Linked DNA regions of Rattus norvegicus. The protein of the gene in region 4 interacts with the protein of the main gene of each other region in a biochemical or structural test. Links are inferred from orthologs where the notes say so. Each region holds a gene or a part of one and is shown on either strand. Other genes may lie near its edges.

The links.
Region 1: the proteins of Ube2d2 (region 4) and Rnf168 form a complex in vitro, tested with the Homo sapiens proteins (3 studies listed by BioGRID). The link is inferred for Rattus norvegicus from reciprocal best matches to the Homo sapiens genes UBE2D2 and RNF168.
Region 2: the proteins of Ube2d2 (region 4) and Trim32 form a complex in vitro, tested with the Homo sapiens proteins (2 studies listed by BioGRID). The link is inferred for Rattus norvegicus from reciprocal best matches to the Homo sapiens genes UBE2D2 and TRIM32.
Region 3: the proteins of Ube2d2 (region 4) and Ube3c form a complex in vitro, tested with the Homo sapiens proteins (4 studies listed by BioGRID). The link is inferred for Rattus norvegicus from reciprocal best matches to the Homo sapiens genes UBE2D2 and UBE3C.
Region 5: the proteins of Ube2d2 (region 4) and Bfar form a complex in vitro, tested with the Homo sapiens proteins (2 studies listed by BioGRID, with this or other methods). The link is inferred for Rattus norvegicus from reciprocal best matches to the Homo sapiens genes UBE2D2 and BFAR.
Region 6: the proteins of Ube2d2 (region 4) and Znrf1 form a complex in vitro, tested with the Homo sapiens proteins (2 studies listed by BioGRID). The link is inferred for Rattus norvegicus from reciprocal best matches to the Homo sapiens genes UBE2D2 and ZNRF1.
Region 7: the proteins of Ube2d2 (region 4) and Siah1 form a complex in vitro, tested with the Homo sapiens proteins (3 studies listed by BioGRID). The link is inferred for Rattus norvegicus from reciprocal best matches to the Homo sapiens genes UBE2D2 and SIAH1.

What each region holds. Positions count from the first base shown.
Region 1 is NC_086029.1:82,010,507-82,014,806, reverse strand, and holds the start of Rnf168 (E3 ubiquitin-protein ligase RNF168), read left to right. Parts: upstream 1-1,500; 5' UTR 1,501-1,515; coding exon 1,516-1,822; intron 1,823-4,300. UniProt on the Homo sapiens protein: E3 ubiquitin-protein ligase required for accumulation of repair proteins to sites of DNA damage. Acts with UBE2N/UBC13 to amplify the RNF8-dependent histone ubiquitination.
Region 2 is NC_086023.1:84,019,213-84,023,431, forward strand, and holds the start of Trim32 (E3 ubiquitin-protein ligase TRIM32), read left to right. Parts: upstream 1-1,419; 5' UTR 1,420-1,476; intron 1,477-4,219. UniProt on the Homo sapiens protein: E3 ubiquitin ligase that plays a role in various biological processes including neural stem cell differentiation, innate immunity, inflammatory resonse and autophagy.
Region 3 is NC_086022.1:6,323,846-6,327,345, forward strand, and holds part of Ube3c (ubiquitin protein ligase E3C), read right to left. Parts: intron 1,893-3,500; coding exon 1,722-1,892; 3' UTR 1-1,721. UniProt on the Homo sapiens protein: E3 ubiquitin-protein ligase that specifically catalyzes 'Lys-29'- and 'Lys-48'-linked polyubiquitin chains.
Region 4 is NC_086036.1:27,669,399-27,672,898, forward strand, and holds part of Ube2d2 (ubiquitin-conjugating enzyme E2 D2), read left to right. Parts: intron 1-1,975; coding exon 1,976-2,007; intron 2,008-2,087; coding exon 2,088-2,165; intron 2,166-2,245; coding exon 2,246-2,351; intron 2,352-3,500.
Region 5 is NC_086028.1:2,057,822-2,062,040, forward strand, and holds the start of Bfar (bifunctional apoptosis regulator), read left to right. Parts: upstream 1-1,419; 5' UTR 1,420-1,511; intron 1,512-4,219. UniProt on the Homo sapiens protein: Membrane-bound E3 ubiquitin ligase that plays a role in several processes including apoptosis regulation or reticulum endoplasmic stress. Has anti-apoptotic activity, both for apoptosis triggered via death-receptors and via mitochondrial factors.
Region 6 is NC_086037.1:56,485,728-56,488,562, forward strand, and holds part of Znrf1 (E3 ubiquitin-protein ligase ZNRF1), read left to right. Parts: intron 1-807; coding exon 808-913; intron 914-2,835. UniProt on the Homo sapiens protein: E3 ubiquitin-protein ligase that plays a role in different processes including cell differentiation, receptor recycling or regulation of inflammation. Mediates the ubiquitination of AKT1 and GLUL, thereby playing a role in neuron cells differentiation.
Region 7 is NC_086037.1:36,572,665-36,576,164, forward strand, and holds the end of Siah1 (E3 ubiquitin-protein ligase SIAH1), read left to right. Parts: intron 1-1,197; 5' UTR 1,198-1,199; coding exon 1,200-2,048; 3' UTR 2,049-3,109; downstream 3,110-3,500. UniProt on the Homo sapiens protein: E3 ubiquitin-protein ligase that mediates ubiquitination and subsequent proteasomal degradation of target proteins.

The DNA.
Region 1 (4,300 bases), on a different chromosome or scaffold from region 4:
CTGGAACCAGTTATGTAGCAAAGGCTGGTTTATAATAATTCTTTAGTGGCTACTTTCCCAAATGCTGAGATTACAGAAATGTGTCTCTTTGTTGAGCTCTTCAGACTCAACATACCAAACCCAATAGGCATTTACTCATGTTAAAGTCTGGGGTATAGGACCAAAGCTAAACACCCCCAAAACCAGGAGGGAAGCAATAACAGCCAATCTCTAAACTGCTGAGCTTTAGCCAGTACCATAAAGATATTATCACCCCCACTTTAACCTTTAACAAGTATTCTTTTTTTTAAAGATTTATTTATTATATATAAGTACACTGTAGCTATCTTCAGACACACCAGAAGAGGACATTAGATCTCATTACAGATGGTTATGAGCCACCATATGGTTGCTGGGATTTGAACTCAGGACCTCTGGAAGAACAGTAGGTGACCTTAACCATTGAGCCATTTCTCCAAAGCCCTCCCCTACCCCCCACCCTCCAAGATTCTTTGAAGCCTCCAGTGTAACTTTTTGTTGCTGTTTTCCTTGAACGTCACATGTCTATAAAGCCAATATCTGCTTGTCATAAAGCACATTCTATAAAATGCTAGTGTTGCAAATAAATGCTAACAAAAATCTTTACAGTAAATTTGTTGCAATTTCTTCTTTTAGCACTAAGAACTTTAGAAAGCTTGGTTGGGAGAAAAACAGAAGGGTAGCCCGAAAAATACTAAAAGAATAATTACAAAAATTATTGTTTGTATCTTGGTTTAGAGAGTTACTTTTTAGCCAGCGAATAACAAAATTTCTACAACCTACAGTGGCTGAACCACCAAAGGCGGGAGGAGTTGCTACTGGCAGGCCAAGCGCGAGTGCACAGCAGCTCCCGGAAGTCCCGCCCAAATGGGCGGTTCCTTGGAGGAAGACAGTTTTGGCGGGAGTTGTGACATTTGTAGCGCCTGTGTACCTACTCGGGCCGCGCCTAATAGATCGACTGGCTTGACAGCGAGTCTGAGCCGCTGGGTCTTGAGACCCGGGGGAACCGCGAGGCGGCCAGAAGCTGGAGCGTGGGCACTGGAGGGCTGCCTCCACTGCAACTGCGACACGGAAGTCCAGCGGCGGCCCGAGCCCGGTTTCCGGGTGATCTTGGAGCGGCGGTCTCCGGGCTTCCGGTGCTGGCCGGCTCGGCGGCCTCGCGCAAAGAGGCGGGTCCTCCACTAAGTAAGAAGGGGAGCTGGATGCGACCTTCTGTGGCGCGGGGAGCTAGAACCCCTCTCCGCCCCGAGGCCTCCGCGCTCCGGGAGGAACGTTCTTTCATTCCCTTGCTGGACGCAGGGCATAACTGTTTACCTGACATCACAGCTCCTGTTCGCCTCGGGCCTGTGGAAACTCAGGCCGTCTGGATTTCAGTACGCTGCTGTATGTGAGAATAAACGCCAGAAGGCTCCTGATTTTCTTCATACTTTATGTGCTTAGCCGAAAGACGACTTTTGTTCCTTTCAGCTGTTGACGTTGGGTAGGCCACATTAGCATATGAAGATGGCTGCACCTAAAAACTCCATCCCTTCCTTAGCGGAATGTCAGTGCGGGATCTGCATGGAAATCCTCGTAGAGCCTGTTACCCTACCTTGCAACCACACGCTCTGTAACCCATGCTTCCAATCGACTGTTGAAAAGGCCAATTTATGCTGTCCCTTCTGTCGCCGCCGGGTCTCTTCGTGGACTCGGTACCATACCCGAAGAAATTCTCTGGTCAATACAGACCTGTGGGAGATTATTCAAAAGCACTATGCAAAGGAATGCAAGCTTAGAATCTCTGGACAAGAATCAAAGGAAATCGGTAAGTAAGATTAAACATGTTTATTGGGTAAAATCCAAAATCTTTTAGAAAGGGAACCATTTTTGTTTCTCGAGACAGGGTTCCTCAGTGTAGCCCTAGCTAGCCCCGAACTCAGAAATCTACCTATGTCTGCCTCCTGCGTGATGGGATTAAATGTACTCGACCCCACCGCACTGCTAGAACCATCATCTTTTCTTTTTTTTTTTTTTTTCTTTCTTTCTTTTTTTCGAACCTAGGGCCTTGTGCTTGCTAGGCAAGCGCTCTACCACTGAGCTAAATCCCCAAACCCCCCCCCCCCCGCCTTTTTTTAATATTATTTATTTAATGTGTATGAGTATACCGTAGCTGTGAGCCACCATGTGGTTGCTGGGAATTGAACTCAGGACCTCTGGAAGAGCAGTCAGTGCTCTTAACCACTGAGCCACCTCCCCAGCCCGAATCATCATTTTCTAATTAAAAAAAGAAAAGAAAAGAAAAAGAAGGCTAAGTAGTCTGAATCGTGAGGATTTGTGGTTTTGTAGGCCTTGCCCACACAGACGTTAAAGTCAAGGACAGACTTTATCACATGTAATAATGGTCAACTTGTGTTCATCTACTGTGAATTTAGGGCTTTTTTTTTTTTTTTTTTTGGGTAACATTTTTTAGACATGTTTTGAGACAAGGTTTTATTACTATGTAGCTTGGGCTAGCCTTAGCCTCACACATAGTGGAGTTGTAGCAACTCGAGAACACACCTGCGCTTTATTCTTAGAATTAGTGAGGGTTGGCAACCTTTTCTGTAAAGGGCAGAATAGTATTTTGTGGACTGTATAGTCTACTGAGGACCGTGATATCTGCCACCGTAGACAATACATTAATTTACATTGCCCTTTGTAATTGAAGGCAGAGCCTGTGCTTCCATAAAACTATGAAAAGGAAATGTAAGGGCAGATGTGGCCTGCCAATGAACCATGACTAAATAGCCCCCGTCTTTAGAATATCACTATTACCTTCCTAAGAATAACTATCTGTGGAGGTAGCAGAATTAAGTAACTGCAGATACTCATGAAGGAAAAACTTGAGATCTCTTTTTTTTTTTTTTTTTTTTTTTTTTGGTTCTTTTCTTTTGGAGCTGGGGACCGAACCCAGGGCCTTGCGCTTCCTAGGCAAGCGCTCTACCACTGAGCTAAATCCCCAACCCCGAGATCTCTTTTAAGTATGTATTTAATTGAGTATGCGAGTGTATGTGCACCATGTGCATGCAGTGCAGAAGAGGCACGAGATCCCTAGAACTGAGGGGCAGACCGTTATAGGCTGCTATGGGAGTACTAGGAACCAACCAAACCTGCTTACCCTGAAAGAAGAGTAGGCATCCTTAACCACTGAGCCAACTCTCAGAAAATTCTTACCCTTAAAAGAAGTTCAAGGGTTGGGGATTTAGCTCAGTGGGCCCTGGGTTCAGTCCCCAGCTCCAAAAAAAAAGAAAAGAAAAAAAAAGAAGTTCAATTGATAAATTAGATATCAAGAGGTCAAAAGAGCCTACAAAGTGGAAGAAAATATTTGTTAAGAAAGTAATGCCTAGGGGTTGGAGATTTAGCTCAGCGGTAGAGCGCTTGCCTAGCAAGCGGAAGGCCCTGGGTTCGGTCCCCAGCTCCGAAAAAAAAAAAAGAAAAAAGAAAAAAAGAAAAAAAAGAAAAAAGAAAGTAATGCCTAAATAGAAGCAAGAGGATCACTAAATTCTAGGCCTGGCAGGGATAATTTGTGAGACCCTCTTAAAAATAACTGACCAGGGAAAAAACGCACTTAAAAAAGCTCAGCAGGAGTTTAGCCAAGACTACACAATAAGATCCTGTCTCAAAAAAAGATTCCTGGGGGCTGGAGAAATGGCTCAGTGGTTAAGAGCACTGACTGCTCTTCCAGAGGTCTTGAGTTCAATTCCCAGCAACCACATGGTGGCTCACAACCATCTGTAATACCCTATTCTGGTGTGTCTGGTGTACTCATATCCATTAAATAATATTTTTAAAAAATTGTAGTGTGGGATGAAGGCTTTGTTCAAGCTGTCATTACTTAGGAAAGCATTAATTTCATTAGTGGATCAATCCACTGATAAGTTCATCCCAACTGGGCTGTTAGGAGGCGAGGCCTGTCTGGAGGAAACACTGGTCACTGAAAATGCCTTTGACAGGTATACGTTGTTCTGGTTCCTCTCTGTGTTTCTTTGCTTCTTGACTGCAGTTGAAGTGGGCAACTCTGCTCTACCAAGGCTTTTCACAATTGCATAAAACCATAAATGTAAATTTCCGAATGAGCCAAACTAAACCTTTCCCCTCTGGTGTTGTTATGTGAGGTGTTTTGTCATAGCAGTAGTGGCTAACAGGAAGAAAATTGACAGAGTCTAAATTGAAGAGATAAAGAGATGCAGGCCAGCCTAGCCTGAACTCACAACAGTCTGCCTGCTTCGTCCTCAAGCTAGGACTAGAAGCGAGTGCTACGTGC
Region 2 (4,219 bases), on a different chromosome or scaffold from region 4:
CAGCAAGCTAGGGAAATTTCTTGTATCTTTTCCAGATGTTATAACATTCTCAGCTTTAGAACTATTGGAAGCTAGTGGTCTTCCACTTTAAGGATACATTCCAACAGTTTTACCTAATAATCGCAAGTCAGAGTCAAAGGTTGGTAATAAGTGCCCATTCAGAGAACTAAAGATAGCTCAAGATAAACTTGATTAAGTGTGTATACCAGGTTTCTATCCTTTCACATTTGAAGTTCTAGGCATTTGGTCAGTCCATAGGATTGCCAGCACAGATAAAATTTCTTCAGAGAACTTCGAGTCACATGTTCTCTGAGCAGGTCTTGGGAGTTCTGGGTGGCTGGATTGGCTCAGGGCTCTAGAATTATCTGAGATAACAACACTGTACTCAGGGTAAAATTGTGTGAGAACTCCTGCATCGCCCAGAAGAGAGTCCAGTTGGAGAATGACTAGCCTGGTTCAGAGTTCCATCTAAACTGATGTCCTGTGGATATAGAACCTTGGACAAGTTGGGGATGGGGGGGGGGTAAATTTGCTTTTCCCATCTTTCTGAGTTCTAGTAATTCATCAAAACAACCCATAATTTTATTTCGAGATAAAGAAACGGAAAAATAAAACAAGGTTAAGAATGCTTCTCAGAAATTAAATCCAGGTTCTGGCAGGTAGAAACTGGTTACTTTGGTCTTTGACCCCTAGGTCTCAGTTTCTTTACCCAAAGTCTGTAGTTTGTAGGCAAGTGTTTAAAGATATTACTGGTTTTGTTTGTTGTCTTATCATCAGTGCAGAGGGTACTCAGCTTGGTGGAATTTCAAATATGAGAGCCTAGTATTTCAGATTCCTTCATATTCCCAACTAGTACTGTGTGTTCATCAGGTTCAAGAGCAGGTATTACCAGTCCCCATCAGGACCTGACCAGTCACTGGGCCACAGAACTGACCATCTGATAAGACTGAATGCAGGCTTTTCCTTGTTTTCTCCCTTTGCTATCCGCCTCCATGCTGTGAGGCAAAGAAAACCTCTTTCCTAAGTGCTGTGTATTCTGTGACTCCACTATGGGATGTGTCACAGGCAGAAAGACCTAGCCTGGGGACCTGCTGCTCTTTGAAGGGAGTGTGCTCGTCTTCCCTACATAAGATTAAAAGAGGCGTCTCTCTGTAAGGTGCCAGAACTTTCTGGAGACTACTACTGAGGGATTAGCATTGACTAACCCTGTTTAGACTCTGAAATAGCGCAGAAAGCTGGATCACACGCTGCAATGGCCTAGGTTTCTGAAGCCATCCCTACCCATTTAGCTGGGCCGCAGGCGCTGGGCCGTGGGCCTACAAGCCCCAGCATGCCTCGGGAGGCGGGGCAAGTTGACAGACAGGCGATTCTACAAATTGGCTATTGCCGTGGGATGTACGCGCTAGCGCATGCGCAGGAGGCAGCGGGCGGGTGGGCTGGCAGCGGTGGACTCGCGTCGGAGCCGCGGGCGGTCAGGTAGGGGGCGGGAAGGAGGGTCTGCGATCAGGGACTGTGGTGGGTCGCGGGGCTCCAAGATTGAATGGCAGAATTTGGGGACTGGATCTGAGTGGCAGGACCGGGTTGGGGAGGGACGGGCTCAGGAGCGATTCGGCGGGGCTGAGATGCAGCTGGGGGAGGGGAGCAAAGGGGCTGAGGAAATTTGCAGTTGCAGCATGTCGGGAGAGAGGTATGAGGTAATGTGGGGGCCATGCGGAGAGACGGGGTGCAGCATGTGTAAGATGCGAGGACCTGAAGTGCCTGGAGGTATCTGGGTGCATACTATCAGAAGCAGAAAGGAATTTGGCAGGCCTGGATGAGATTGGGTGTTGGCGGGCAGAATCTTAAGGGCTTTGAGGAGATCGGTGTAATGGTAGCAAGATCCGAGATCAAAACAGCCAGAGTCTTGGAAGATCCTAAATGCTGAAGAGAAAGGGATTTCTGTAGCGGAATCTGGGAAAGATTGAGGGGTGAGTTCCCAAGGGAATCAGTACCCAGTTAGCAAATCGCAGCAAAGGTTTGAAGGCAACACGTGAGGCAGGACGGGGGCGGGGGTGGGGAGGTTGGAGGTGGCACAGTACAAGATGGGGAATGCAGATGAGGGAAAAGGTTGAAGGAGGCAGAGTCTAAGGTACAGGATTGGAGTTTGGAGCTGCCATACGTGGGTGATAGGAGTGGAAGTTTGAAAATAGATGAAAGGATGTAGGGAGTTTGAAAATAGATGAAAGGATGTACCAGAGGGATGTGGGACACATAAGAGCTATTGGTGAGTTGCAGGGTTGCAACATACACAGTCTAAGAGGTTGAATTCTAGATTTGGGATTTATTGTTGAGAATGGGGTTTGTAAAGGATTGAATGGTGGGGAGTGAATGTTGTAACTAGATTGTACAATTCAAAACCAGGTGAAATTTCTGAGACCACTAAAGGAGGTGTTTGTTTGTTTGTTTGTTTTGTTTCTTGATTTCTGCATAATTGAACCCAGAGGGTGTTCTGAAGACCCAGGGACCTGAAAGTAATTTATAAATAAACTATGCATGAATGAATGGAATTTAGGAGAATGTAGGGGTTTGGAAATAAAGACACTGGTCTTCAGAAATCCTGAAGGAGAGTTTGACATTCTCTGAAGGGCAGAGTCTTCCTCACTTGCTAACTAAAGGCCCTTTAATCCTGAGGCAGACAGGTATTCTCACTAAATCCACTCTGACCACCCCAACTTCCCCACCACAGACTCAACATTATAGGCCTTGGGGAAGAACAATAAACTACCTAGGGGCTTTGCTACTTATCCCTTTCTCTGTACCCCTAAGCCCTCAAAGGTATAAGCCAAAATTATCTTAGATCTGACATCATTTTATAGAAGGTCTATTATAGCACAAAGAGGCAGTGATTCTATGAATGAAGTATTAGAATTGGGCGAGAAACAAAACAGGGTTGGAGCAAGGGAGAGCCTCACATGTACTGAGTATTTAGACTGTATCATTACCTAAAACCATAGTTCTCAGATAGGGTGGTTTTGTTCTGCCAGGAAACATTTGACCATGTCTGGATGGAGGCATTGTCAGTTGTCATAATTGAGGGGTTGTGGGGGTCTACTGATTTCTAGTGAACAACCCCCACAATAAACTGTCACCTAGCCAGAAATGCCAATCATGCCACAAATGAGGGACCTAGCAAGAGAGTCAAGAATTCTGGGTCCAAATCCTGGCTTTTTCTCTTCCTGCTTTGAAATCTTAAGACTTATTTGACCTCTCAATGCACAAGTTTGACCTCTCAATGCACAAGCTCTTCAGAGACCTGCATCCTAGGATTGCTGTACGGACTCAGTGAAATAAATCGGGGTACTTACTGTCTAGTGCCTAGTAAGTGTTAAGAATTTACTACTCTCAAAGATCTATGTGTACTTTCTTCTCATGGCAGTCCTTCTAAATATACTTTCTATGTCCAGTGTGACACATGAAACTAAGGCTTAGGAGATCACTTGTGTAAAGCCACATCACCAAAACTGGCAGAAGTAAACTGCCGTGTAAATTGCCACCACAGAATCTCCCCTCTTGCTTCTTTGCTGCAGTCGTCTTGGTCCTCCCTTTTCAGACTTTCCTAATGAAAAGGAGGCTTGCCCCATATTCAAAAGTGGGGTGACTTTTCTTGATCAGCAGAAGCCCTGGACTTTGTTCTTGCTTTGCTCTTAGACCAGAACCAGTGGGGAGATAGTGCAAGGAGTTTGGAGCTACGAAGCTGAGATAAGAAGACTCTGGCCCAAGGACAGTGCTAGACTGAAGGAGACTGCTCTGAATACCCTCCTTTGTGTATTTTGGTCTCAGGAACAGAAAGGTAGCATTGTCTTTATCAACTCCAAACCTAGCTACATTACAGGAGGCAATTTCCTAGTTAAAATCAGACTGGAGCTGAGGGCAGAACACTTGACTGTGATATCCACACAGATCACTTCTGGAAACACATGATGGAGCAGGTTCAGTTAGCCTTGGAATCAGGTGTTTTACTGCTTGTTTGGTGGTCAAGCACTAGTCAGCCTCTGTCTATAAACAGAGTGAACTCCACTGAGTGCTGACTAGTGTACATTCTCTCCATAAAGCTCACAATGTAAATGTTGCTCTTGATTCCATAAGGTGGGAAGTTAATAGGTAAGTTGCATGACATATCCTGGGCTTCAGAGCCTATGGCTAAGTGGGCATGTGAATCAGAAGTCACAAGTTGGCAAGC
Region 3 (3,500 bases), on a different chromosome or scaffold from region 4:
CTTTAGGAAGATTTATTTTTTTTCTCAGTAATTTAATATAAGACCCATTGAGTGCCTGAGCACCTTATTCCTGGTGAGTATTCCAGAGACGATACTGATCCCAAATGGCTGAATTCAAGGTATCACAGGATGTGTGGCTTCCTACATTGCAGATATATGTGACCTGGGAAAGTAAGTTGACTACAGCAGAACACAACTGGCCATTGACCTGGGGCAGCACTCCAACACAATCTTGGGGAAAAGATTTAATGTAGATATTCATCCATTAGGACGTACAAATAAATAAGCTCAGAAGAGCCAGCAGAAAAAAAACAAACTGCCAATTTATCTTCAGTCTCAGATACGTCAATTCTAAAATACTAATACACAAATTAACTAATAAAAAGATGTAGGACATTCAATATAAATATCCCCAAACAAAAAACAAAATCAAGGATAAATGCTATTTCTTCCTATGTGTCAGGACTACAAATAGCATTTAAATACTTTATTATTCAAATTAAGAAATTATACATTTTGTCTGATAATTGTCATTGTCTTAAAAGTGTCATTCAGTTTTCCCACATTTAAAAGCATATTGCTAATTCTGGTTACCGAGCCTCTAGGCACGATGCTGGACTTGGATGAGAAGCAGTCTGGAGTCCTCACCAGCTCCATGATCCTTGCATGCTAGCCTCCCAGATGCTTCCCTGATTCCTGTTTGCAGAAGCTGAGGTCAACTGGCAACAAGCTGGACCCTGATAAAGTGCCTAAATGAGAATCACCTGGCCTGATGCTCTTCCCTGACAGATGCCAGGGATGCTGTCTTCTTATTAAAACAGCGGCAGAAAACAAAGGTGCTGAGGCCTGGATGAATCCCCCCAAGATGCGCAAGATGATGGGCAGCACTGTTAGGCCAGGAGAGCATGTGGATCACGGAGAGACGCAGCCTGCCACTTTGGTTCAAATGACTTTAATAAAAGCTGCAGTGCCCACATCCCCCAGTTGCCAACTCACTACAGGTGACACAGTACCTCAGGAAGTATAGGGATGCTCCTTCTCTGCCTCCTGGAAAGCTTCCCAGGCACAAAGCAGAGACAAGGAAAGAGCAATGAGGACAGCAGTCACCTCTCACCCACACAGCCATGTCCAAACCTCATGATGCAGGTCAGTAGGAGTCTGAAGACAAGCATGCGATTCCCACCTGGGTGGGGGACATGGCTTAAAAAGCACAAATAAAATAATACTAGAGTTATCCATTTTCCAAACCTAACCACTTTGGGAAAAGGCAGCAGGAAAAAATACCTTCAGTTTTACAATTAGGCTTGTAAACAATCAACCACATGAGAAGCAGTGGCTCGGGGCTCTGTGTATCAGCCCCAGATTCTGTCTACAGATACTGGTGCCTGACCCAGGAGGGGATATAAACCAGATCAGCAAAGCCAGAGCTTCATCTTTGGTTAATTTCATTGAGTTGCCACTATTCTAAAACCTGTGCTCTTCTTGGCAAAATTACTAAACCAGCCACATAGCACATAACAATAGCTAGGTTATGTGAAAAGCAAATGTCCATCTATGTATGTGACTGTGTCACAATAAAACCATCTTAAAAAAAATCAGAAAGGGAGGGATGCCAGATAGAAGGCCTGAGGAGAGCCGAGGGTCCCGCCTGAGTGCTCTCTTGGGTCTGGTAGGTGCTGGCTGCCTTTGGGTCAGATCAAGTTCCCTGGGCTCAATTCAGCTCAGCTCAACTCAAAGCCAGCAGCACACTCGATGGCATACAGCAGCTTGCTTCGCAGCAGGGCTTCATCATAAAACTCTGGGAGCTTCAGCAGGTTCATGCAGGTGCTGGCTGTAGGTAGCCGCTCAAGGTCAGAGCCTCCATTGTGAATGCAAAATGCAGGGTATAGCTCCTAGAAGACAGAGCACAGGATATGGTTAGAGGACTCTGGCATAGCCTGGAGCCCACCAGTTATTCTCGAAGCTTCTTTTCTCAAAAATATTTTTTCTTATAAAAAGTACTTATCTTAAATTCTGTGTATGTACATGTATGTGTGTCTGTCATGTAAGGGCGTCACCCAGTACCTAGGGGTGTTTGGATACCCCTTGAGCTGAGGTTACAAGTGGTTGTAAGCTGCTGGACATGGGTGCTTGGGTCCTCTACAAGACCAGTATGGGCTCTTAACCACTGGGCCACTTCTCTAGACACTTGCCTTTTTTGTTACTGTATGTATGTATGTATGTATGTATGTATGTATGTATGTATGTATATATGTATTTTTGATTTTTTGAGACAGGGTTTCTCTGTATAGCCCCAACTGTCCAGCATTTCCATCTGTAGAGCTACTGACCTTGAACTCAGACCTACATGCTTCCCGAGTGCTGGGGTTAAAGGCATACACTACCACTGCTCAACTTCATTATGGTTTTAAATATCTTTAAAAATTATATTTGTGTATATTTGTGTGTGGGCACATACAGAACATATAGAAGTATAGCAGACAACTATACTATAGCAGTCAGTTCTTTACTTTTACTACATGTGTTGGGGTACTGAATTTAGGTTGTCAGGCTTGGTACTTTTACCTGTGAGCTACCTCTCCAGACAGACACACACACACCCCCCAGTGTGTACATTTGAATTGGTGTTTTGCTTGCATGTATGTTTGTGTGAAGGTGTTGGGTCCCCTGGAAGTGGAGTTACAGACAGTTCTGAAGTGCCATGTGGGTGCTGGAAATTAAACCAGGGCTCTCTGCTCTTAATCTCTAAGCCCTCTCCCTGTTTGTTTGTTTGTTTTTTTTTCTTTTAATTACAGAGGACTCAGCTCCAAGTTGTAGCAAAATGATGAATTGTTTGATGTGGTTAGAGCAAAATGGAAATGACAAGCTGCATGCACTTTTCACCCCCTTCCACCTCCACTACCGCCTTGGTTTTTCCAAGACAGGGTTTCTCTGTGTAACAGCCTGGCTGTTTTAGAACTCTCTTTGTAGACCAGGCTAGCATCAAACTCATAGATAGATATGCCTGCCTGGGATTAAAGGCATGTGCTACCACCCATAGCTACCCCCCTTCCCCAAAAAGTAATTTATTTTTGTTTAATGTGTATGTGAACCTGGTGCCTAAGAAGGTCAGAAAAGAGCATCAGGTCATTGGAACTATAGTTATAGCCAGTGTGAGGCACTATGTGGGTGTTCTGTAAGAACAGTGAGTCATTTCTCCAGCCTTATACCCACCTCAGGAATCTGAGACAGGTCTAGGACTGAACTGAGAATTTGAGGTCAGGCCACATTACAGAGTAAGATCCCCATCTCAAAAGAGAGGGGGATGGGGGAAGGGAGGGGGGGAAAGTTGGGGGGGGAAGAGAAAGAAAAGGAGGGAGGGATAGAGGGAAGGAGGGCATGAGAGAGGGGGAGGGGGAGGGAGAACAAACATTCAAGAGAGAGGGGACAGCAAGGATCAGTTGGATACTTCAAATGAACTTCAGTAGTCACACCAAACTTAGAAACCATGTAGATGTGTC
Region 4 (3,500 bases):
CTAAACTGTTCTTTTTTTTTTTTTTTTTTTTTTTTTTCCTTTTCTTTTTTTCGGAGCTGTGGACCGAACCCAGGGCCTTGTGCTTGCTAGGCAAGCGCTCTACCACTAAGCTAAATCCCCAACCCCTAAGCTAAATCCCCAACCCCTAAACTGTTCTTCTTTTTTTTTTTTTTTTTTGGTTCTTTTTTTTCGGAGCTGGGGATCGAACCCAGGGCCTTGCGCTTCCTAGGTAAGCGCTCTACCACTGAGCTAAATCCCCAGCCCCCTAAACTGTTCTTCTTTTTGGTTCTTTTTTTTTTTTTTTCCCCCGGAGCTGGGGACCGAACCCCGGGCCTTGCGCTTCCTAGGTAAGCGTTCTACCACTGAGCTAAATCCCCAGCCCCTAAACTGTTCTTCTTAATTTGAGTATGTAGACCCTTTCTGCCATATGCCAGTGTTACTTAAGTATATTTTATGCAGTTGTTTTAAGGAATGATTAAATCTTGGAGGTAGGCTGGTTTTGGTGGTGCATGTCTTTATCCCAGCACTCCGAAGGCAGATCTCTGTGGGTTTTGGGGAAGGGGGTTGTTTGGGATTTTTTTGTTTGTTTGTTTGTTTGTTTGCTTGTTTGTTTCATTTAGATTTATTTAATGTATATGAGGACTCTGTCAGCATGAAAGCCTACGGATCAGAAGAGAGTATCAGATCCCATCATTCGTGATTGTGAAATGCCGGGTAGTTGCTGAGAACTGTACTTGGGACCTCTGAAAGAACAGCTAGTGCTTTTAACTACTAAACTATCTGTCTAGCCCTGATCTCTGTGAGTTTAATGCCAGCCTGTACTATAGAGTGAGTTCCTGGACATAGAAAACCCCCGTCTCAGAAATAGAGAGAGACAGAGAAGAAAGTCAGTCAGTCAGTCTTGGAGGCAAATAAGTAAGTTTTAATAGTACCTAGGTAGGGCCTTTCTATGGGCTTTGTCAACAGATTTATCTTCCAGGCATGACTTTGAGATGAGTTTTTGTTGGTTAGTTAGGTTAATTTTGTGGCAGAATCACTGTGTAGCCATGGCTCGCCTGGAACTCACTATATAGACCAGGTTGGTCTCACACCCTTTACTTAGCCAAAGAGAAATTTAAATTTAGCATTGTGTACCTCAGCTTTGTCAACATTGTTGTAGGCATGCTATATCACCATGCTTAGTTCCAAAGACTTTATATTTACTTTATGTGTGTGTATGTGTACATGTACAAGACATATTTGGAAGCCAGAGAACAGCTTGGGAGCAGATTTTCTCTTGCTCTGGGAATCAAACATGTCAGGCTTGATAGCAAACCTTTTCTTACTGAGCCACCTTTCTGGCCTCAGAAAAATGCCCTGGATCTTTATAGTTTTGTTGGTGGTTTGGTGGTAATGATGTGTATAACATATGTTAACACACGAGTTCTTCTGTTTGGAGACCAGGAGAGGGCATTAGATCCTTTGGAGCTAGAATTACAGGTTGTTAGAAGCTACTCTGATTCAGAGTGTGCATACTTAACCAGCTGAGCCTCTCTCTAGCGCCTCCAAATATTTTAAAACCAACTGTCTGATTTTTTTGTTTGGTTTTGGTGGGGTTTGTTGTTGGGGTTTTGGGGATTTTTTTGTCTTTTGTTTTGTTTTTGTATTGGTGGTTGTTTGGGGGGGCTTTAGAGATAGGCTTTCTCTGTAACTAGAACTCAAACTCTGGCTGGACTCTAATTCAGAGATCTACCTGCCTCTGCTTCCAGCGGCTTTCAGATTAAAGGTAGGCACTGCCACACCCTGCTGACTTGTCTGTCTCTTATTTTTAATGGTTTAATCTTCATCCTGCCCATAGAAACTAGGTGTTATCATACTATTTATAAATAAACTATTTATAAATGAGCTTTGATTCGGTACTGGGAATGAGAGGTTCTACGGTGTAGGTGTAATGCAAATATTGTTAATTAATATGGTGACTTTTTCTTTCTTTCAGTGTTTCATTGGCAGGCTACAATAATGGGGCCAGTAAGTATTCACTTTAATTCCTTAATTAATAATTGTTTTATGTAATTTATTCATTTTTAATCTCACTCTCTTATCAACAGAATGACAGCCCCTATCAGGGTGGAGTATTTTTCTTGACTATTCATTTCCCAACAGATTACCCCTTCAAACCGCCTAAGGTAATTAGTATATGATCATTGCTCTTAAGATGCTCTGTATGGTACTGGTAAACCAATCACAAAGATTTCTTTTTCTTCAGGTTGCATTTACAACAAGAATTTATCATCCAAATATTAACAGTAATGGCAGCATTTGTCTTGATATTCTACGGTCACAGTGGTCTCCAGCACTAACTATTTCAAAAGGTAATGCAATAGTTGTTTGGTATCAAGGTGAAATAACTGATTTTTATGCAGGGTGTAGATGTGTACACCGTTGATACCAGCACTGGGGAGACAGAGACAGGCAGGTTTCTAAGTGCCAGGGCTGTGTAGTGAGACCCTGTCTCAAAGAGGAAAAAGTAACTGCTTTTTTTTTTTTTTTTAAAACAGGTCTCTGTTGGTCTATCTTGTTAAAATTATCTTTTTTTAAATTAATTATTTTTTGTATATTATATCTGCATGTATATCTTTGCTCTGTGTGTGTGTGTGTGTGTGTGTATGTGTGTGTGTGTGTTGCCCCCAGAGGCCAGAAGAGCGTGACCTGTTAATTGAATTATAGAGTTAGAGTGAGCTAGCATATGGGTACTGGGAAATGAGCAGCCATTGTTCTTAACTGCTTAACTTCTTTCCAGTCCTGGCTTTTTTTTTTTTTTTTTTAAATAACTCCTGTTTCCTTTTTAAAAGGACCAGTCTAGGGCTGGAGAGATGGCTCAGTGGTTAGGAGCACTGACTGCTCTTCCAGAGGTCCTGAGTTCAATTCCCAGCAACCACATGGTGGCTCACAACCATCTGTAATGGGATCTGGTCCCCTCTTCTGGTGTGTCTGAAAAGAGTGACACTGTACTTACATAGATTAAATAAATCTTTTTTTTTTTTTTTTTTTTTTTTTTTTGGTTCTTTTTTTCGGAGCTGGGGACCGAACCCAGGGCCTTGCGCTTCCTAGGCAAGCGCTCTACCACTGAGCTAAATCCCCAACCCCTAAACTGTTCTTCTTAATTTGAGTATGTAGACCCTTTCTGCCATATGCCAGTGTTACTTAAGTATATTTTATGCAGTTGTTTTAAGGAATGATTAAATCTTGGAGGTAGGCTGAAAAGAGTGACACTGTACTTACATAGATTAAATAAATCTAAAAAAAAAAAAAAAAGGCTGGGGATTTAGCTCAGTGGTAGAGCGCTTACCTAGGAAGCGCAAGGCCCTGGGTTCGGTCCCCAGCTCCGAAAAAAAAGAACCAAAAAAAAAAAAAAAAGGGACCAGTCTCCCTTAGTTTGTAATAGTATTTGTTGATACAATGGAAAACAGTTGAATTTTGGAGAATTGGTCCATAGTAAGATGCAGGTTGTTGATTGTGAT
Region 5 (4,219 bases), on a different chromosome or scaffold from region 4:
TTCAAGTGCAGCTTGGTCTACAGCTTGAGGTCCAGGACAGCTACACAGAGAAACCTAGTCTCCAAGCAAACAGGAGTATGGTGGGACACACCTGTAATCCAAACATCTGGGGAGTTCATTCGAGAGGAACTTGAATTCAGGACTAACCTGGACTACAAAGGCTGTGTCTTAATAAGAAAAAAAAAACTAATGGTAAATTCTGTTAATATATCTCCTACCACAATGGGGGAAAAGTTTATACTTTATTGGATTACTCTCCAGAAAGTAAATTCTGCTGGCACAGATCATTTTTACTCGTTACCAATTTGAAAAGAACACTCTTATTTATTTATTATTTATTTATTTATTTATTTATTTATTTAGAGATGGCTGATCTCAAACTCACTCCATACCTAAGGGGTGGCCTTGAACTTTTTTTTTTTTCAAGACAGAGCTTCTCTGTACAACACAGCCCTTGCTGTATTGGACTCACTTTGTAGGCCAGGCTGGCTTTTAAATCACAGAGACTGGCCTGCCTCTGCCTTCTGAATACTGGGGTTAAAGTACTACCATGCCAGACAGACTTCAACAACTTCTTCTTCTTTCTCCTTCTCCTCCTCTTCCTCCTCCTCCTTCTTTTCTTCTTCTTCCTCTTCCTCAGATTTATTTATTTTATCTGTATGAATATACTGTAGCTGTCTTCAGACACACCAGAAGAGGGCATCAGATCCCATTACAGATGGTTATAAACCACCAAGTGGTTGCTGGGAATCAAACTCAGGACCTTTGGAGAGGCAGTCAGTGCCATCTCTCCAGCCCAGCCTTTAACTTCTACTCTTCTTGCCTACTCCCTGCAGTTTACACCAGATCTAAGAAACAGAAACTTAAAAAAAAAAAAATTAAGTTTCACTATGTAACTTTGGCTGTCCTGGAATTCACTCTGTAGGCTAGACTGGCCTCGAACTCACAAGAGATCCGCCTGCCTAGCCTGGTGTCACAATGTCATAGATTGAAAACACAGCACTGTTGAGTTCTCAACAGATCCAGATCAAGGTGGGTAGCTGCAGAGTAAACGAGATAACGTCATTTTATTCCAAATCCCGACCCTAAAAATGAAGCTTTAAGAAGGGTTTTGTGGGTATCTGCATAAATGTGAAGTTAAGATTTATTATGGTGCATACGGGGCACTGTGAGAGACTCTGATATCTGAATAATGCAGCTAAACAAGGGAAAGGTAACACCTCCCGATTCCCGGGCGATGACGTCTGCTTGGCTCGGAAGGAAAAGAGGAAGGGGCAGGACGCTTTGCTGTGCATGCGCCCGCGGGTCGCTGGAGCAGCCGCTCTAGGCAGCAGGGAGGTCGCGCAGGGTTAAGAGCCTAAAGCGGTCTCTTCTCTATGGTTGCAGGAGCTGGTCAGAGTCGGTCCGCAGTCCTACGTTATTTCCGGAAACGAAGCCTGCCGCTTGTCCTCTACTTCCGCGGGGTCCTGGCGGGTGGCAGTGACGGAGTGGGTCCCAGGACTAGTGGCGAGGTGAGCTTCGGCACGGTGTGTGGTGGGTAATGAGGCGGCAGGGCGCTTGGCATGAGAGTTTGGCGCGGGAGACCGAACTGAACCCGCTCCCGGAGCGGCGCTGGCAGGGTGGGCCCAGACCCTCGGGCCTCCTCACCCTGGCCTGAGCACACCGGCAAGACTGCGGATCCCAGCTTGGCAGTTCCCCTTCCCTTCCGAGGCGAAGAGCCATTCCACCGCGGGTCTCTAGTCCTCGCCTTCCGGGTCTGGGTCAGAGCCCCTCGGAGGGTGACAGAGAAGGGGGTCTTGTTTCCACTCATTTAGGGGCTACGGGTGCCCGCCACGGCCGCTAGATCGAGGCACCTTCCTATCTCAAGGCAGAAGGTTCATAATGGGAAATAAGGATAACGGAACATCAGACTCCAAAGTGACACTGGGGCTTGTCTTCTCATTCCCATAGTCAAGACTCAGAAACCGTATGCTAAGGAGAGCGCGCGTGCGCGCGTGTGTGTTTAAAGACCGAGACGATGTGTCTAACTGGGGATCTTTAACTGGGCAAGGTGGGGGGCACCCATAACTTTGGTTGAGAAGAGAAAGTGGGAGCCTTATGCTCTCAACTGTCGCCGTTGGGTCCTCCCCACGGAATCCCATTGGTCCGTCCTTGGAGTGGCCCCAACGTCACACCAGGAGAGACCAATACGAAGGAGTTTTCCTCTCATCTTTAGGTACGGACTGCACGTGCCAATGAAGTTTTATTTTTGTCACTGCTATTTTATAAACAGCCTGGATGTATCCCGACCCAAGTGCTCGTTGTATGCCTGGGTATATCATCCATAAACCTGATAGGAAAACCGTACTCTCTCGGAGGCTGTTTAGACACACACACAACACACACACCCTTTTTCCCCTTTCCCTCTGGGGTTATAAATTCTAAGCACACTGTAGCCAGCATTTGGTAAAATGTGACTGTTAATAATGCTATTAATAACAGTCAGCAAACTTTTTACCTATCTGTGGACGCAGTTTGACATCTAATTTGACAACAATTCTTTAGCGTTGATATCAGTGCGGACTGATACACGGGAAAAAAACGAGGCTCAAAGAACAAGGGGTGACCAGATTGGGACCCCAGGTTAGCCTCACTCTGAAGACTTAACTTTGGGTTTTGGTCTTTTTGTTTGTTTATTTGTTTGGGTTTTGAGGGAGGGGGAGCCTGGGGTTGGTGGTTTTGTTGTTTGTTTGTTTTGTGTTTTTGTTTTTGTTTTGTGACAGGGTTTCTCTGTGTAGTCCTGGCTGTCTGATAACTCAGACCAGGCTGGCCAAGAATGCACAGAAATCCACCTGCCTGTGGAGGTTAAATGCCACCATGCCTTGGTTTGTTTTATTTGTTGAGAAAGGGTTTGTGTAGTCCAGGCTGGCCAAGAATAATTCTTGGACTTCTGATGTTCCTGGCTTTCTGAATTGAGTAACAGGAAATGGAGAAGGGAGAAAATGAAACTCTGAAGTGACACTGGGGCTAGAGTTTCCCTTTTCTGATTCCCAGCCCATGACTCAGAAATCTGAACTGGTGCAAAAGAGAGATTTTTCTGAGTGCTGATAGTAGGTGTTACCACCTATTATGCCCAGCTTATGCACTGCTAATGATAGGAGCAGTCAGCAAGCACTTTGCCAAACAGTCCAAGAGATTAGGGAACACAGAGAAACCTTACACAGTTAACTTGGGTTGGAGTGAATTAATTATCAAAGACCATCTGGATCTTGTTCGTGGATACTTTTAACTTAGAAATCTTAACAGACAGGAGTGTGATGATCCATATAAGATAGTTATTGACAACCATGTTGATTACGCCAATTAAAAATGTTAAGTACTTTTTATTGATGGCAAGACCAAAATGGGCTTGTGCCTCTAAAGACACAAACCTTCAAAGTTAGATGAGGATCAGAGTAACCTTAAACTTTCATTCCTGGCAGGGCAGAGTCTTAGATGTAACCTCAAATGGGTTGCCAAGACCGACATTGGGTTGGGGAAAGGGGAAAGACAAATTCAGTCAAAACAAGATGGCATTACCTTAGTCATTTCAAGAAGAGTATATGAAGATACACTCAAGGAACAGAAATGTGTACATGCTCTATGAACAGAGTCTAATCCTGGTAATAGAAGTTCTTGTGGAACCTATTGTTTGCTAGGAACTGTTCTGAGTTCTGATAAATGGTTATTATCCCCATTGTATAGGTGATATAAAGAAAGGTAAATGACTTACCTGAGATCAAGCAGCTAGTGGTTTATTGAGCTAAGATTTAACTTGATCATTCTGGCTCAAGAGACTGTGCTATAAGTGAGAATGTCAGTTTGGCAGCCACACATGATGGTGTCTCAGCATTAACAAGCCAACACCTGATGGCACAGGCTTTTAGTTATTGGGTAGACCAAGGCAGGAAGATTGCAAATTCAAAGCCTTAATTATGTGGACTGGGCTGAAGCTACTGCCTCTGTAGTAGAGTATATTTAGAGTGAACAAAGTCCTGGCTTCAGTTCCCAGCACTAGAAAAGTTAGTTTACTACTTCACCATGCATATTCTTCACTGAATAAAACCACAACTGCTTTATTTTGTTTTATTTTGTTGTAGTAGGGAGTGTTGTTTTGAGATGGTCTCATGCATCACTCTCTGGCTGGCAAGGGGTGACCTTGAAGTCCTAGTCCTTCACCACTCAGCTGCTGTGATTACAG
Region 6 (2,835 bases), on a different chromosome or scaffold from region 4:
ATTGTGACCATGTGCCCTGCTAGCTTGTAAGATCCTTCAGCTCAGAAAAGCACACACAGAATCTCATTAGTGCTCACTGGATGTTCTGCTATGCTCAGGGAACTTCATGGTGACTCGGGGTCAGGGCATCACAGTCCCTGCCTGTGGCTTCATTGCAGTTTAGTCTAAACTTTGTCCTGGAACAGTCTCTTTATTCTACTGTCTGTGCATGCTGTCCCTACATCTAGACTGAAGGGAAAGTCTCCACATGTGGAAGTTCCCATTGGTTTGTCCCTATGGAGACACCTGATAGACACTCTGGGTCTCACCCCTCTCTAGCGTTGCCTTTTCCTGTGGCGTGTCTTAAAGACGTACACATGCCTACGCCCTGCCCTGGCTAGCACATGTGCTGTTGCTGCATGGTCAGAGTTGGCCTCCAAGTGAGCGCTCCTTCTCTACCTCTACTGCCCCTTAGCTAAGCAAAGGAGCCTGAGGTTCCACAGCACAGCCTGAATCTGCTCCTGGGGACTTGGTTCCATCCCCGCCGGTGACTCCTTGGGTCTCTTTGCGACCTGTCTTAGCAGACTTCCTGAAGTTCCCCCAAGCCTCTGGTGAGCAGTCTGAATAAGCACTTTGTCCATGCCCCTGGTACCCCAGTCAGAAGGCTCTTCTAGTTATCTGCATGTTTCTCCCATTGCTGTGTTCCGTACATACCGTGCGTTCCAGACACATAGTGGTTTAGGTCTGTAAGTAGCTCATAGACCTGTGTGCTCTGTGCCCCCCACATGCTGGTGATTAACTCTGTTGGTATCCCCATCTCTCTTGCAGATGATGTGCTGACTAAAGATGCGGGTGAGTGTGTGATCTGCCTGGAGGAGCTGCTTCAGGGGGACACGATAGCCAGGCTGCCTTGCCTGTGCATCTATCACAAAAGGTACAAGGGCCTGGCAGGAGCAACTCTGCCAGATCCCACATCTGATGGATAGATCCCCTTCACCAGTCATCTAGTCCTCAGGTTATGGGATGGCTTGTATACTCTTTGCTCTCTGGTAGGGGTCAGGCATCTACTATGCTGACCTGAAGGCTCAGTCATAGCAAAGGCAGAACAGAAGGGAATTGCTCAAGGTTCAACTCTGTGTGAGCAGTTCAGATGGTAGGAGCCAGTGGGTAGGCCTGGCTTGGAGGTATCAAGGGGAGAGCTGGTGTCCTTGCTGGTCTGTGTGGCACCCTCCTCTCCCAAGGGCTAGGAGGCAGGAAAAGCCACTACCTGTAAGTACCAAGAGCTGCTATAATTAGCCAGGCCAAGATTTGTCCTCTGCCTCCAGCGGTCCCCTCTGTCTTTTTCCTAATTGGAAAGAAGACACCTCCTTGTCCAGGACAGCAGTGAGTACACCCTGTGTCCCTGGGCCTGCACCTGCTCCCTGCTCCTCCAGCCCACACTGTTTCCTGGCACAGGGACTTTCCTAAGCCCAACTCAGGACTGCTGGTTTTCAGTGTCATAGTTGTTCCTGGCGTGTGATTAGTCTGGGGAGAACTGTGGTTCTTGGTCTGGCACAGATCCCTGCAGCATCTCAGGAAAGCACTGGCACTAACCAGAGCCGTAAAAGGAAAGCCCTGGCCCTGGGGAGACCTAACCAGATCATGTTTAGTTGCTGTTTGAAATGTCCAGATGTAAGGGGTTGGGGATTTAGCTCAGTGGTAGAGTGCTTGCCTAGCAAGCACAAGGCCCTGGGTTCGGTCCCCAGCTCCGGGAGGGGGGGGGGGGGGGGGGGACACGACACTCTGCCACTGAAATGTCCAGATGTGGCTTTACAGCCGGGGCAGTATCGTGTGGTACTTGCTGTTTCTTTTGCTGGAGTTTTGCTGCAGACACTCCACTATGAACACTGGAGATCGAGGCCTTACTATACCCCCTACCCTGGCCCAAGCTCACATATTAGCAACGTCAAAGAGCCCCAGGGTGTAGCTCCCCTTCCTCTTGTTATATCTCAGCTGGGTAGACTTGGGACTCCTGAGAGGGTGCCCTCATCACCCAAGATCTAGTCACCCTCATCACTGGCCAGCCCCTTGTATCTGGTCCTACTTCCTGCCTCTCGGATCTTAGAGACAATTAGGCTGCTGCCCTGTGTAGTCCACCCGCTCTCACCTTAGTGTTGTCCGTTGCTGTCCTGGGCTCCCTGTACCCCGGCTTTGAGCTTCACAAGGCCCAATCTCCCAGAGCCTGTATTCTGCTGCTGCCTCCTGCCGAGCCAGGATTGATGCTCTAGTTTCCCTTTTTTATTTTTATTTATTTTTATTTTATTAATCTTTATATTAATTAGTTTATTGAGGTGAGGTCTCACTATGTAGCTTTGGTTTTCCTGGAGCTCACTCTGTAGACTAGCCTGGCCTTGAACTTAGATTCACCTGCCTCTGCCTCTCTAATGCTGGGGTTACAGGCATGCACCACCCACTATCAGCACACCCAGCTTATTTTTCTATTTTATGCACATGGGTATGTTGCTTGCATGCATTTACATGCACTACATATGTGCCTGATGCCCACTGAGACCAGAATAGAGTACTGAATCCTCGAGACCTGGAGTTAAAGATGTTTGTGAGCCACTGAGGGCTAAGAACTGAATCTGGCTCTTCTAGAAAAGCAGCTAGGCCTCTTAACTACTGAGAAGCCCTCAGGATTATTCTTTTTTTAAAACTATTGTTTTTATTAATTTTAAATTATGGGTATATGTGGGCATCTGTGTATGTGTGCATTAGAGCGCAGGAGCCTATAAAGGTCAGAGGGGTGAGGTCTCTGGAGCTGGATCAGGCTCCCATCTGCCCTCCCACCCTTAGGATATCATTGTTGATAATCTT
Region 7 (3,500 bases), on a different chromosome or scaffold from region 4:
TGACTGATGGGAGACAGAAGTGATACCTGGCTGCCTTAATAAAAGACTGAGTAGACGTCTGCAGGCAGATAACAGGATGGCAGGGTTTCCTTCCCCTGTGACCTCTGAGCCCATTCCCAGAGCACAGTTCTAGTGATGATGCTGTTCATGCTGGGAAGAGTTGACCCGGCTCTAATGGTCTTTGGCATATGAACTTCATAGGACTAAAGCAGTAGGTCCTGAAGCTATGAGCAAACTCAGACTTGAGAAAAAATAGATGGAGGTGGAGACTCGGGAAAAAAGTCCAGCCCAAATAAAGTTTATATTGTAATTTAAGGTTTTCTTCTTTTAAAAAAGATTTGTTTTTATTTTATGTGAATGGGTGCTTTGCCTGCATGTCTATCTGCTCATAATATGTTTGAGTGCCCTGGCTGCCTCTAATGAGCAGCCATTTGGGTGGTGGGATTTGAACACTGGTCCTCCGGAAGACCAACCAGTGTTTTTAACTGCTAGGCCATCTCTCCAGTCTCCAGCCCTGTATTTAATTTATATTCCTCCTCTTCCCCTCCTCTTCCTCCTCTTCCTCCTCTTCCTCATCCTTTCCTCCTCCTCCTTCCTCCTTCCTTTTTTTTCTTCTTCCTTCTTTCCTTTTCTTCTGCCTCCTAAATGTTGGGAGTTAAAGGCTTGTGCCATCTTGCCCAGCTGTATTTAAGTTCTTAAGACAAAGACAGTTTTGTAGTTCTTTATTGTTTAGGAACTTTTTTGAAATTAGGTCTTCATATGTAGTCCTGCTTGGCCTGAAACTATGTATGCAGACCAGGCTGACCTCGAACTCCCTGATCCCCACCTGTATGTGTGTCTGCAGTGCAAGGGTTAAAGGTGTGGCCACAATGCCTGGTGCGATTCTTATTCTGTGTAGTCCACCCAGAGATTTCCACTGCTTTAAGAACAAAAAAGTATTTTAAACATGCTGGAGAACATTTTGGAAATACAGTTTACTCATTATATAACTCCAGAAAATTAACCTTTAGCGTTCAATTTTTATTTTATTTGTATATGGATTTAAAACTATATTTACTTAATTTTATTCTTTTATTCACGATAAATTTTGTGGTATGCTTTACAAGTATTTATGACATGTATACATACATATCTACTAATGTGTTATATTTGTAACTTTCCCCCTGCTTCCTTTTATTTTCTTGTTTTCCTTTACAGAGATGAGCCGTCAGACTGCTACAGCATTACCCACCGGCACCTCAAAGTGTCCACCATCCCAGAGGGTACCTGCCTTGACTGGCACAACTGCATCCAACAATGACTTGGCGAGTCTTTTCGAGTGTCCTGTCTGCTTTGACTATGTATTGCCACCTATTCTTCAGTGTCAGAGTGGCCATCTTGTTTGTAGCAACTGTCGCCCCAAACTTACATGTTGTCCCACCTGCCGGGGCCCGTTGGGATCCATTCGCAACTTGGCTATGGAGAAAGTGGCCAACTCCGTACTCTTCCCTTGTAAATATGCCTCTTCTGGATGTGAGATAACTCTGCCGCACACCGAAAAGGCAGAGCACGAGGAGCTCTGTGAGTTCAGGCCTTACTCCTGCCCCTGCCCTGGTGCTTCCTGTAAGTGGCAAGGCTCCTTGGATGCTGTCATGCCCCACCTGATGCATCAGCACAAGTCCATTACCACCCTGCAAGGAGAAGATATAGTTTTCCTTGCTACAGACATTAACCTTCCTGGTGCTGTTGACTGGGTGATGATGCAGTCTTGTTTTGGCTTTCATTTCATGTTAGTCTTGGAGAAACAAGAAAAATACGATGGCCATCAGCAGTTCTTTGCGATTGTACAGCTGATAGGAACACGCAAGCAAGCTGAAAATTTTGCATATCGACTTGAGCTGAATGGTCATAGGCGGCGATTGACTTGGGAAGCCACCCCTCGGTCTATTCATGAGGGAATTGCAACAGCCATCATGAATAGTGACTGCCTAGTGTTTGACACCAGCATTGCACAGCTCTTTGCAGAAAATGGCAATTTAGGCATCAATGTAACTATTTCCATGTGTTGAAACGGCAATCAAATATTTCTGGCCAGTGTTTAAAATTTGCATTTGACTTCACAGAGAATAAGGCACCCATCTGCTTGCCAACCTAAACCTCTCCTGGTAGGTAGAAGCTAGACATGAAGGTAAATAAAAAGAAAAGCTGTTAATACAGGAAACAGTTGCATGTAGTAACACTAATATATTTAAAAATAATTCAACAGTAAACCACTGAAAAATATATATACCCAAGATGGGCATCTTTTGTATTAAGAAAGGAAACATTGTAAAATATTTCTGAACTTTGTGTTTGTTGTAGATTGATTGTATTGTTGACAATTTTTTGGGGGTGTGTGTCTGTGCACGCATGCGTGCACGTGTGTGGTTGGTTTTCCTTTAACTGACAAGCCATCTGCGTGGTCATGGGCCACCGCTTTCCCCTTGTGAGTCAACACACAGTGCTGCTGTGGGGTTGTTTTTTGTTTTGTTTTTTGTTTTGTTTTTTGGTGTGTGTGTATTTGCTAATTTTTATTCTAGTTTTTCATTAAATAAATTTGACTTTCTTTTCTGTAATTCAGGTTTTTCTCACTTTTGTACCTTTTAAGTTAGCGTCTTTTTGATATCCATAATTGCTTAATGTCAGAAGTTTGTGTTCAGTACATACTTTCTTTTCCTTCAATCAATTTATTAGACATTTTTAATTCAGCCCTTCTGTGGAAATAGGAATTCCAGAAAGGAAAGGGAGCAGAGCAGCTCGTCGAGGCTGAAGCAAGTACAGGATGGTCTCGCCTCCCGACTGCTGTCCTACGCCGTCAGGTCAGGCTTACTCTCTGAAAGGTTAGCTTAGGGAGTAAACTCTGATCACTATAAATTATAAAATAATCAGGCTTTTCCTCTCTTCAAATGTCTTGGGCAAATCACATGTTTAAATTGGTTCTTGTATTTATTGGTTTTGCAAAAGAGTGCATCATCATACACAGTATTTGTAATTAAAGTAAATCATTTGTTTTTAAAAAAAGGCAGTTTGCAAAAAAATGTTTTTGGTCTTTTATAATTCTCATTAAAAGATTATCTGGCAAATTAAAAAACATTTTAATGTGTTTACTTTAGCTCTAGGTTTTTGTTTTTGTTTTTTGTTTCCCTGGAGCTGAGGACTGAATGTAGGGCCTAGCACTTGGCAGATGCTCTACCCTGAGCTACACCCTCACCCTGTGGCCCTAAGATGGATAAACTCCAAAGGTAGTTTCCTGTTCCGGTCTGTATTTTAGAGCAGAGGATTGTATGCCACTGTTTGAAGTATGTTTTATTTTAAATCACAGAAAAGACTGGACAGCTCTCCCTCCCACTTTCATTCCATTAGGACATTGGGAATATGACTAATTAATGCTGATTATTCTTTTCCTTTGTGAAAAAAGGTGAGTTATTTTATCCTTTCCTAGCTCCAGTGGTGTGGTACTGACTCTGCAGTCTGATTTTCAA